2 linked regions of the Xenopus tropicalis genome follow. The protein of the gene in region 1 binds, or shares a complex with, the protein of each later gene. Links are inferred from orthologs where the notes say so. Each region holds a gene or a part of one and is shown on either strand. Other genes may lie near its edges.

Evidence for each region. The genes of interacting proteins can lie anywhere in the genome.
Region 2: the proteins of serpina10 (region 1) and proz are in contact, whole or in part, in a crystal structure (PDB 3H5C), measured with the Homo sapiens proteins. The link is inferred for Xenopus tropicalis from reciprocal best matches to the Homo sapiens genes SERPINA10 and PROZ. Residues at the interface, in NP_001094077.1 of Homo sapiens: Arg88, Lys89, Ser91, Met92, His94, Asp95, His257, Asp259, Lys260, Tyr261, Asn282, Phe283, Lys305, Met306, Asp308, His309, Leu310, Ala311, Leu312, Asp314, Tyr315, Leu316; in NP_003882.1 of Homo sapiens: Cys129, Pro131, Cys141, Leu142, Pro143, Ser151, His250, Met251, Arg252, Asp254, Ala257, Glu259, Asn260, Glu284, Lys285, Asp286, Phe287, His290, Leu291, Thr336, Thr337, Arg338, Arg390, Ser392, Leu393, Trp394, Gln397.

What each region holds. Positions count from the first base shown.
Region 1 is NC_030684.2:88,265,234-88,271,448, reverse strand, and holds the start of serpina10 (protein Z-dependent protease inhibitor), read left to right. Parts: upstream 1-2,129; 5' UTR 2,130-2,217; intron 2,218-5,096; exon of another isoform or gene 5,097-5,099; 5' UTR 5,100-5,109; coding exon 5,110-5,809; intron 5,810-6,215. UniProt on the Homo sapiens protein: Inhibits activity of the coagulation protease factor Xa in the presence of PROZ, calcium and phospholipids. Also inhibits factor XIa in the absence of cofactors.
Region 2 is NC_030678.2:116,056,011-116,062,113, forward strand, and holds the start of proz (vitamin K-dependent protein Z precursor), read right to left. Parts: upstream 4,153-6,103; 5' UTR 4,123-4,152; intron 3,970-4,122; 5' UTR 3,940-3,969; coding exon 3,870-3,939; intron 2,441-3,869; coding exon 2,277-2,440; intron 846-2,276; coding exon 821-845; intron 1-820. UniProt on the Homo sapiens protein: Appears to assist hemostasis by binding thrombin and promoting its association with phospholipid vesicles. Inhibits activity of the coagulation protease factor Xa in the presence of SERPINA10, calcium and phospholipids.

The DNA.
Region 1 (6,215 bases):
GGAATGGCTACGAAAAACTCGCGTTTTTTCGTGCAAATCGTATTGGTAACGAAAAAGTCGCGATAATTTCCGAAAAGTCATAAAGGCTCCGAAAAAATCGCAAAAAATACAAAAAAGTCGCAAAATGTTCGTTTTCCAATCGGAATTTTTCCAATTCGGATTCGAATTCGTGGGTTAGTAAATCAGCCCCTAAGGGGCTGATTTACTTACCCACGAACGGGTCGAATGGAGTCCGATTGCGTTTTTTTCGTAATGATCGGTATTTTGCGATTTTTTCGTATGTTTTGCGATTTTTTCGGATTCTTTACGAATTTTTCGTTACCAATACGATTTTTGCGTAAAAACGCGAGTTTTCCTATCCATTACGAAAGTTGCGTAAAAAGTTGCGCATTTTTCGTAGCGTTAAAACTTACGCGAAAAGTTGCGCATTTTTCGCGTAAGTTTTAACGCTACGAAAAATGCGCAACTTTTTACGCAACTTTCGTAATGGATACGAAAAACTCGCGTTTTTACGCAAAAATCGTATTGGTAACGAAAAATTCGTACAGAATCCGAAAAAATCGCAAAACATACGAAAAAGTCGCAAAATGTTCGTTTTCAAGTCGGAACTTTTCCAATTCGGGTCGGATTCGTGGGTTAGTAAATCAGCCCCTTAGTGTGCCCTAGCAGTGTCTTTATATGTTTGTATTTTGGTGAGATAGCCATGTACTTGTAGTACCCCAAACCTGACACTTAAATGGTGATATTATGCCTTTAAAAATGTGTGATGACCTTCAAAATGGGGAGAATCAGTCTGTAGGACCATTGTGTTGGTTTTATTGTCAATAACCTTTAAATAGTGGGCAAATCTTCTGACTTCCACTTCCTAACTGTCACAGCCCAGGCAGCAATAGCTATAGGTGAAAACATACATTTACCACTTTTATTGTTTTTTTTAAAATCAAATTGGCAATTAATGGAGTTCAGGGTTATATTGAACTGCTCGTTTGAACATAATATGAAGCTTATGAGATATTCTGTTGTAAGTTGGAACAGGATAAGAAATTCTGCTACACATGTATTATATATTAGAAAGACTGATTTAATATATATATATAAATATATAAATATATTTTTGAGTTGCAAATTGTCCCATTTTAACTGTAGATGTAGAACATAGAGCCTATCTGGCAACCTGCTGTGATACAATAACTTGCCTCTTCCAACTATTGTACTGTACAATGTATTTCTCTACATGAAATCTCTAATAACTTGGGTTCAATTAATTAATTTTCAGTAGTCTTAGGGGGGCATTTATTAACATTTGGATTTTAACCACAAATAAATTAATTTCCATGAATTGAAATGTAATTTATCAAAAGATCCAAACTGAAAAACTACAAACAAAAAAAGATGCAGAAAAATCGCAAAAACTCCAATTTTTTTTTGTATTTTTTACATAAGCCAGCATAAAAGAAACTCTAAAACAACAAAGCAAAGAAAGATCTTCCATTTCTAAAAGGGACATCTGCCACTGACTTCTACATGATCACAACAGGTTTTAGATGATTTATTTTTGCATTCAGATTTGTTGTTGTTTTGTTGCATAATAAATCGTAAAAAAATCAAATTTTTTATAAGACAAACTCATATTTTGGTGACAAAAACCCCAAGCCAAAAAATGGGGTGTTAGTAAATGTATGGAGACCCAAATTACGGAAGGACCCCCTACCTGAGCATTCTGAATAACAGGTCCCATACCTGTTATAGCAATAAAGACTGCTCTGCAGGGTCCTCTAGGGGCGTAGGACCCATTTTCCATAGCAGATAAAGTAATTCAAATGCAGTGGTTTTGGTACTTGTGTCAATAAACAAGATACCAAACGTAATTCATGGCTCGAATAGCGCAAAGGATAAAAGCCTTAATTATGTATAATAGGACAGAATTCTCTCAACAGTTTCTGTGCTTATTTTGCACCACTGCAGTACAGAATAGGAAATGTGAGAGAGTCCTGATAAAAGAGAAATGCTAGTAATAGATATACATGCATTGGCGTTTTTTTTCTCTTGGGAAATGTTTTGGTGACATATCTGTGTGCACAGCTGTTAATAAATAAAGGAAATGACTTTGCTCATTCTTTATACTTTGTATTGCTAAATATTTGTCAAAGACCACTGATGTTGGACATTAACCTTTGGCTGCATTAGTATTTCTGCGACTGAAACAAGGCAACACTGGTAAGAACTCACAATATTTAGTAGTAACTATCGATAACTATAGATACTTGGTGTAGGTCCAAGCAAGCATTGTCAGTGCGGCATTGTTTCTGATTCTAAAAGTAATTCAAAATATATTTTGAAATAGAAACCATTACAGAGAGTAAACATTTATAACAGTAAAATGAAATATCTTTTACAGACTCCATTTAAATGATACCCCCAGGGTCACATTATAAATGGAAGACTGCTTGCTTGACGTTACTGACCAATGCATTGTTCAGAAATGATATTTTATTATTTTACATAACAGGAAATTCCATACTATGCAAATAATATAAAAATATATATAAAAATAATGTCACTTTGTAAGATTTAAATGAAATCCTAATATAGATGTTTAAGTGAATCTGCATTATAAAAAGGCACAGCCAGTGTTACTCACACCTTCCATTCACTGATAAGAACAATAAACATAATAATAAGAGGAATGAGAACAATCTATTAGAAGATGTTTTAAAACTAACAAAAGCATTTTGAAGCTTTAAGTATCTCTTTTATTAACTTTTTAAAAGAATTCTACAATAAATTGTTTGAGTAACATGATAATCACTGAATAAAATGACAATGAAGCCACTTTCAGGGTGTTGAAGCCGGTAAAACTAGCCAGCAGATTGGAGATAGAAATGAAATGAATGGCATTTACACTAGATTTCCCTGAAAGTGACTAATGCTCTTTAAAGTGACAATGAAGAAGTAAATGTGCTGGTTTTACTATGAATGGTGTATTAAGGATAATACAAATACAGCCTACACACAGTATATCAATTTATAATTTCTCCACTATTCCTAAGTGATGTTCATAATTGCAGTCTAATTGAAAACTAAAGCTCCACCCTAATTTAACTTAAATGAAATTGCCTCACTAACACTGGAAAATGTCTAAGCAACGTGCAGATGTGCAGAGGTGATGGACCAAACTGCCAGTCTTTTTCTTTTTCCTTTCTCTTTCTTCTGCCTTGACATTCCCATGCTAACACCCCTTTGCTTTCCTCCCCTCTCCTCTGCTTAGGAACATAAATATGCTGTTTATTTAGATATCTTTGTGGCCTTTCGCATTTGCTTGTCTGCAAAAATCAAAATACTGTTTTAACAAATTTCTTAGTATTAATAGCCTGACTCGAGGGTACACTGGCATGGTCATAGCAATTCTCATGTTAAACTTTGAAGAGGCGAATATATATTGTGACCATTGTCCTTACGAGCTGAAGTACTACTAATGTTTTGGGTTTTTTTCATGAAGCTCAGCTTTTTCTGTGTAGGGGAGTGCAATAGCTACTCCACACTGTAACATGAAATGTAATCAAATTCACAAACAGAAACAATGGCGCTGAAATAAGAATAAAAAAAATTTCATGTTACGATGTAATATTTTTCATTTCATTAAAGGGGACCTGTCACCCAAACATAAAAAGCTGTATTTTAAAAGTCATTTTCAAATTAAACATGAAACCCAAATTCCTTTTTTTATTAAAACACAAATTATAAATTTAAAAATTCCAGCTGTCAATCATATATTGACTACTCCTCACTTATGCCTTAGGTATAGAGGCGAGGCATAGAATTACTTCCACTTTCCACTGAGCAGTTACTACACCATGTAATTGTGTAACCAGTGCATGGGCATGGGTATCTGATCCCCACATTCTGGCACATATACAAGCTTTTGGGGTGATACAAAGCTTGCCTTACTAACAGTGTCCACAAAATGGCACCTGCCTGCTTCCTGTGATTTAATCATTCATATAGTGTACGTGAAGTTTATTTTACTTGACAAACACCAAACAAAACAACTTGGAATTATTTTCTAGGGTGACAGGTCCCCTTTAAGAAGTTTTATTACATGCACAGCACACTTGCGCAAACTAAAAAATTAACAGTTGCAAACCTATTGTAGCAAGAAATGCAAAGGGTTCGCAGACTGTACACAATTTGTGTCAAAGCAATATTTTAGTTCCGTTGTGACCCTTTTTTCCTTTATGAACAAATATTACGTTCCCCATAGCCTTTATATGAATATCTATTATTAAACTCAACCCGTAAATATAAAACAGTTATGGTTTGGTTTTATAACCTAAGTGGTACATGTAGTGAAAACTAATAGCAAAGAAATCCCTTTAGAAACTGCATTTCTAAAACAAAAATCAAGCCCTCTCAGTATTCTTATCACTTTATTATCAGGCCTAAGGAATACACATGACATTTTCTCTGCCTATATATTAACATTACACTTTAGTCTGATAGTGAAGCAATCTGTTGCCTTCTACTCCATCTTTAGTATGAAATGACAGACACGGCATCACTCTGTCAGTGCAGATTTGAAATTATACTATTTTATGGCGAATTGTATACAAAAGTGCACACAAAAGATCAGTAGAATAACGTTGTTATATGAATGATTCAACTAATAATAAGCAAGTATTAGTCGTGGTAGTGTTATCAAAACTGTTTAGTTCTATTCTCTCCTATATCAAAGTGAGTAGCTAATAACACAAAGTAGTAAATAAATCTTGAAGTATAAATAGCACTAGTGTTGTGATCCATATACAAGGTGCACTTGATACATATACTAACTGACCACACAGATAACATCTCTTGTGAGCATCAGATTAACATTTACAATACAAATGATTTTACTAAGGTCTCATTCTGTAATGTATGTTAACAACATGTGAAGGCTAATATTTGCATCTGGCTAATGGAAAGTGAATTTTTATCTAGCCTGAGACACAATTTTTTTTAATTAGTAATGGAAATGAATATGTTTAATTCTGAAATATTTCACTGAAGTCATTTTAATTATAATTCATAATGTACTGTAACTGTATTTCCATTCTTAGCAGAAGAACCACTATGAAACGCACACTGTGGCTACTTCTTCTCCTTCTGATTGGACTGTGCATTGCTGATCATGCTACTAAACAACAAAAACCATCGAGGAAACAGAAAGTGGATCATTCAGAATGCAGCAAGCAGACCTCTGCTGCAACACTGATGAACTCTAGTCTCCCATCTGGAAATGAGGAGCAGATCCCTACAGTGCTTTCTTTTGCTAATGTGTCTCAAATGAGCAGTGATTTTGGGTTCAATCTCTACAGAAAAATTGCAAATAAACATGACAATAACATCTTTTTCTCGCCATTTAGCGTGTCATTGGGACTTTCTTCTTTATTGCTTGGAACAAGAGGAAATACATATGACCAGCTATTACATGGGTTGAACTATAACCCATTTAAAGACCAGGAAAATCCCTATTTGCTGCCAGAATTGCTGAAAACAATTAAGGAAAAAATTGCCAAAAATGAGGAGTTGGTATTGAACATAGGCAGTCTCTCATTCTTACACGAAACGTTTTCCATGAAGGACGAATTTGTCAACCTGACCAAGAAGTATTTTGACATGGAATACGAACTTATCGATTTTCACAGCTCAAAGGCAAAAAACGAAATCAATGCTTATGTTGAAAAACTGACAAAGGGGCTAATTTCCAATTTTTATGATTTTATAGATCCACAAACTAAGCTTCTCCTCCTTGACTATATCTTCTTCAAAGGTAGATTACCATCTATTATGTGCAGGTCTGTTGTGTAATGGCACAACATTTACCAAATATTTTCAGGTACAACAATGATAATGTCATTAATTATACACACACAGTGAAATATACCATAACAAAACTAAATGATTTATATATTTCAGAGAATATTTGGAAAACCAAAGGTTTTACATTACTGACCTGCTAGTGCTGTTGATGCACATCTCTTATTTGTATATAGGGGAGATTTTAAGGTCAAGAATGGAGCAGAGGGAAAATCAGAACGAAAATGCCCGATTCACACTTTTTAGCACCTGTACTCAGACGGAAGCTATATTTGTCAGTGCAGATACACAGAGCTGCGAAAGAGATTGGGTCTGCTTCTGTATGCCTGCCGTAGAAACGCAACCTGAGAGCAGCGGAG
Region 2 (6,103 bases), on another chromosome or scaffold:
TGTACCAGATTTCTAGCACTGAAGAGAAAGTACTGATTTAGAACTTCTAGCATGGAGTAGATCATAGGGTGCATTTACTTACACTTTTAGATGCAATTGCCATGTTTTTTTTTCCACAGTGTACAGTTTTTTTCCCAAAATTCATGCATCATTGCATGCACTCTGTGGACGTGGAATTAGACATAATTGCACTGTGTCTAACTCTTGCATGCTGCGTCAAGCACCATTGTGTCTGATCTGTCAAAATGGATGTAACTGCACATGCACTTCTCAGTTTTGCCAAATATTTGTGCAGTCTGCCTGGTGTCAGTTCCAGTGTTTGCCATGTGAATGATGCCAGTGCCTTATTCTTTAGGTGCAAGTGCGTAGTTCCTATTGATGCAGGGTGCTGAGGGAACTCTGAAGCTACCACTTGGTCAGGAGATGATGGTAGCTCCAGGGTTCGCAATGCTGCTAAGCACAATTATAAGCAAGTACACAGATAGCATTGGGACATATGTACCTTTAATGAAGTTGTTTTTAAATGCAACACACTGTGGGGAAAACCACAAATTGCCCACTGCATCTGCAGATGTAAAAGTGCCCTATTGTATTTGTTCTGAATACCCAGTGCTTTGCTGTGCATAGGATGTTCCATGCGTACAAGGAAATTTTTAGATACTGAGATGCATGGAGATTAAAAACAGAAGAACAGACTTTTCAGACTTCTTGGTAATTTTTTATTTGATTTTCAGAGTTTTGCTCATCTGTTTCCCGGGGGGTATGTCTGTAACACTAATCTTATTACAAGGAGTGGCAGATATATAAGTGTTACACTTACCATGATACTGGCTCCAAAATTGCTTCTATAAAAAATAATAGCATTAAGAATTATTCAATAGGTAGATTTTATTACAGGTATACAAACTTACAGACCTTCTGTGTCCTTCTTCCATAAAACCCATACATTCTTTTTTTTTTTCTTTTTCTTATTTTCTATAGATTAACCCTTGCTGCATATGCAAATTGTCAGGACACAAAAATTAGCTGTTTTCAGTAATTGCCAGCCTTTGCAGTGTCCTATATCCTTCCATAAAAAACATGAAATACACAAAGTATATACATTTTTCCCCTTAAATTACTGAAACCTAAGATATTATAGTCAGCATTGAAGCTGTCAGTAGATGAAGTGAACACTGTACTTTATAAACTGCTTTTCGAATTTTGATGGTCAGTCACTGCACTGTTTTCCCAAATGCAAGCCCGGTTTTCAGTATTTATTGAATAAAAACAAATGAACAAGCAAACTATATTAACAAAAGAATACAGGTCAGTTTAATGTAGTGTTGCTCAGTCAGTAAAATAGTTTAGGGTAGTGCTGTCCAACGTCTGTGGTACCGAGGGCCGGATTTCTTGGGGCCTACATGGTGGAGGGCTGATAATGGAAGCCAGTTTTAACCACTCCCCTTTCTGGCACACACAGGCAGCATAGGGTAGGCAGAGTATGGCACACACAGGCAGCATACAGTGTCACAATGCTGGCACTGCTCCTACAGTCTGCACAATAACTATATATTAATAAACTTTTTAATTGCAGTACCACCTCAGTATATGTTCTTTTTGTACTGTGCATGGTCTATTTGTGGGTTTTTACTGCTCCTACAGTCTGAGGTGTGAACAGGTGAACAATATGGGTGCTTACAGTCTGAGCCTGAGGTGGGAACAATGCAGAAGGTGAACAGTGTAGGGATTAAAAGGTGTGAAGAACACAGGGGATTACATGTTTAAACAATACAGGGGGATTACAGCCTGAATCTGAGGTGTGAACCATGCAGGGGGCCAGTTAATCTCAGTACTGATACCACTTAAAGGCTACATAAAGGTAAGCCATCAAAGCGGCCAGACAGGTGGGGGGCCGCCAGTTGGACAGCACTGGTTTAGGGAATAGCATGTACTGTTACAAGCTAGTATAGAGCAAAGCATACACTGTTTTGTTTGGACAATTTGTTAAACTGCTTCTATCTTTACTTAATAGCTTTAGCTATAATCACCAAAGCTGGGGACTGCATCAAAGCATCTCTTTGTTGTCCTAAGTAGGTATCAAAAGCGTTTGGTTGAATGTTCAAGCAAGGTGCTAAATCATCATCCCAAATTGGAGCTGCCTAAAAGGACCATTCATTCTATGTTTTCTACCCACAATAAAAACAAATGCTGAATGTGTCAAATTTGGAAGGGCCTCATAGCAAGACAGTAAGCAACCTCAGCACAAACACAAACTATTAAGCTTATATACTTACAGTTTTTTCTGTGTTTTCAAATGTCTCTCTCGCCTCCTCATATGAGCACCTTTCTTCAAGGCATTCCCTTTCTAGATTTCCCTTCAGTAATTCCTCGATGAAGATAAAGTTGTCTCTCTTGGACCTCTGAATGACTTTATTTGCATTTTCAGAAGACAGGAAGACTATATAGATGGAGGTTAACAAGGTTGCAAAAACATAATGTATACATGCTTCTGTTCTAGATCATGAACCTCAGCCTGATCACAATCATCAAAAGTTATGTTGTTGTTGAAAAAGACTTGAATATGGGTCCATATGGCCAGAAACGCTTTGTGAGGCCAATATTAAAAAAAAAATTGTATCTAAGCACTGTGTGTTGTGTTGCTCCCTTTGCACTCTTGCTATGTTATGTTTGAAAAGTTTGTTTATTATTATATAATGTACAGTTTGGTCATTTCCCTATGGGATCAAACTGTAAATCATATCCTTATAGGCACCATTTATATGCTAGGGAGATAAAGCAAAGCTAGGAAGTAAGACACTGCACACAGAAACTGTAGATTATAAACTTGGGGTCAGATCGAGATTTGTATTTATCAATGTTTTTCCTTTAATAATTCTCAACAGCATATAAATGTGCTACCTGAAGCCTACATCCACTTAACCCAATGGCTACATCAGCATGTGTTTCAGATGAGATCCTTCCTTCACTCCACATACTTGACAAGTCTCAACAATTCATGAGAATTCCCATGCTATTTTACAGTTAGTCTGTAGGAAAATTTAAGCAAATTTCAGATTTTGGCATCAAAATAATTTGAGTGAAAAATGATACATGCAAGAAAACAATTTTTCTATTTGAATGAATCTTCCACTTAGGGTAATTGTGAATAATACATTTATATTTTTTGTGTGTTTTTAGTTCTGGCCAGCATTTTGTTACTTAATATATTCATTTACTATGCTTGCTTTTGTATTTTAGTCACTCTGCCAATTAAATCGGTTATGATCTCAGAACATTATTGTCTGCATAAAGTATAACACAACTGCTAATTTGTAGAAGAAATAAAGGAGACCAAAGAGACCATTCTTAGTAAATATTACACAGAGTTTTCAGGCACATATAAAAAAGGTAGTTTTAGTTAAATCTTCTACCTGGTAGCATAGTAAACCTTGTTTTGTGGTAATTATATTACAATATATAGATAACAACTTATAGAGAGCTACAGAGTATCCAGGTCTGGGTCTATTCAGGTCTAAGGTAGTTTTAGTTAAATCTTCTACCTGGTAGCATAGTAAACCTTGTTTTGTGGTAATTATATTACAATATATAGATAACAACTTATAGAGAGCTACAGAGTATCCAGGTCTGGATCTATCCAGGTCTATTTAATCCATATTAAATTATAGCTGTTATTTTACATCCAAAAATTCACCTTTCATTTAGACAATCACAATCACATCAAAATACTCTTAAACCTACTCATAAAGATCTATTTTGAACTGCCCCTGTCTTTTATCTGTATTCATTAAATTCTACCAGTATTTAAACCCACATTACTAATCTAAACAAAATACAAAGTCTTAATAGTTAATAAAAGTTTCTCATACCTTTTGCCTCTGCTTGGTGAATAAAAAGCATTAGGGAGAATAAGCAGAATGTCTGCACTGCATGTGCCATTTTGATACCTGGGGCTAGTGGACAGCATGTCTGTGCAAAGAGTTAGTAAATAACAAAAATGTAAAGTTCAAAGTTCAGAGTTTAATAGAATGTAAATAGTAAGGGCAACAATTTACATTCTGCAGATGTTAAATGGTGGAGGGATAGATTTTAAATTCATTTAAATGATTATTTATATCATACCTACAAAATTATCCTTTTATCTGAATCTTGCCATAAAGCTTTGTCAGACTGATGGTCTCATTCTCAGTCTGTATCTAAAATGTGTGGCTGGTTTGCCAGAGAGAAGATCAGACTCGAGTAAGCACCATGAATTTCATAGAAAAAAAAAATAAAACAAAGAAACAAAAGTATTTTGTATCATCATATTCAGTTGTAATCGTATCCATATATATGCCTTGCACATTGTAAGGTTTATTAACAATAATAATTAGGCAAAAAGCACAGTGATATTTATATAATTTAGAAAATAAGTGCCAGGCTTTTTTTTTTCTTTTTTTTGTTGGTATACGTACTTTTGTTAACAATCAGGATAATTTATCAAATAATTTTCCTACTTCCCCATTGTTTTTTCCTCCAGAAACTGTTCTGCAACTTTGAGCAAAAATCATTTTACCACAGTGGCCAAAAAACCTTTTAAAATTAGTCAATTCATCCAAATACATATTTTTTCCGAGCTTTTCCACTCAAGAAAAAATTTTAAAAAAAAATTATAAAAAAGGGAAGATTAGACTATTGAACCAAACTACTTCAGATTTTGTTCTATTGCAGTAAAGGTATTGGACCTGTTATCCAGAATGCTGAGGACTTAGAGTTTTCTGGAGAGAAATTTAGTGTCAACCTGGCAATTATAGACCTGTAAATCCTATAGTGACCGAAAGGTAAAAACTAAGTAAGCTTTATCAGAAAGGTCTATGTAAATACAGCCATAAGCACTTTCAGAAAAGCTGCACTGACTTCTCTGTAAAAAGATTTCTTGTGTCTGTAATTCCTGTGCCAGTGACACACTGCTCTCTCCTGCTCTCTCCTGCACCCCCCTCCCTCAAGAATGCTAAGAACTCACTCCCCCTCCTTAGGAATGTGGATCTGAGCCAATCAGCAGGCTAACTAACTGAGCATGTTCACTTGGTCTGGGTGTCTGTGCAGGAGTGAGGCATTATGGGAACTTTCTTTACACAGCTCAGCTTCAGTTTTTTCTTCCTGTTTGGCTTCTGATCATCTGAACGGGAGAAATATGGGGAGACCTGAGACAACTGAAGGTATGCCTGCAGCTTGAGATTAACTCTTTATTAGCCTTTCCTTTTCCTTTAAGAGATCACTTTAAAAATTATATTCTGGATCATGGCATTAAAAGTAATTATCAGCATTGCTTTCTGAAGGACTCTTCAGGTCAAGGAAATGTACTAGCTTTTTATGATGAAGTAAGTAGGAAGCCGAGTAGATTTTTCCATTGCATATGGTGCAACACAAGTTTGCTTTCTCAACTAAAGTCTTTTGGTCTTAGTAATGCTATACATGAGAGAACAAGCAAATAAATCACATTGAAGTAGGTAATAGCAGTGTGCAACTGGGTTCTGTTTTTTCTCCACTTTTATTTGATTTAGCTGGTAATGGCTTGGGGGATGGTATACATTTGGCAATGAAACAAAAACTATCCAAGACAGTAAAATACATACAGGATGTGTCATCCTTGCAGTGGAATCTGGACAAACTGACAATCTGGGCAACTAACTGGCAGATGAGATTTTCTGTAGATAACTATAAAAATATCCTTAATAAGGACCTGGAGGTACTTGTGGATAATAAACTTGTAACACATGCCAGTTTGCAGAAGAAAGGGCCAACATGGCATGGTACTGTATTATAAAGGGTATAGCTCTGCTGGAGGAGAGGGTAAATTATTCCCCTTTATAAAGCTCTAAAGCACCATCAAGAAATGCAGCATTATTTTGGACTTCTGTGCAATACAATAAACTGTCTGATGATTTATCAACTATAAGATCCTTCCAGAGGATTTTAGGGTCTCCCGTGATATTAGAAAAACTGAGCAATGTGCACCAAAATACTGTGAATGCGTGCAAGATCAATTACCTTATTTATTATTGTAATGTCCCAATAGTTCTCCTAATTGTCAGACACCACAGGGTTCACCTATAAATACCCT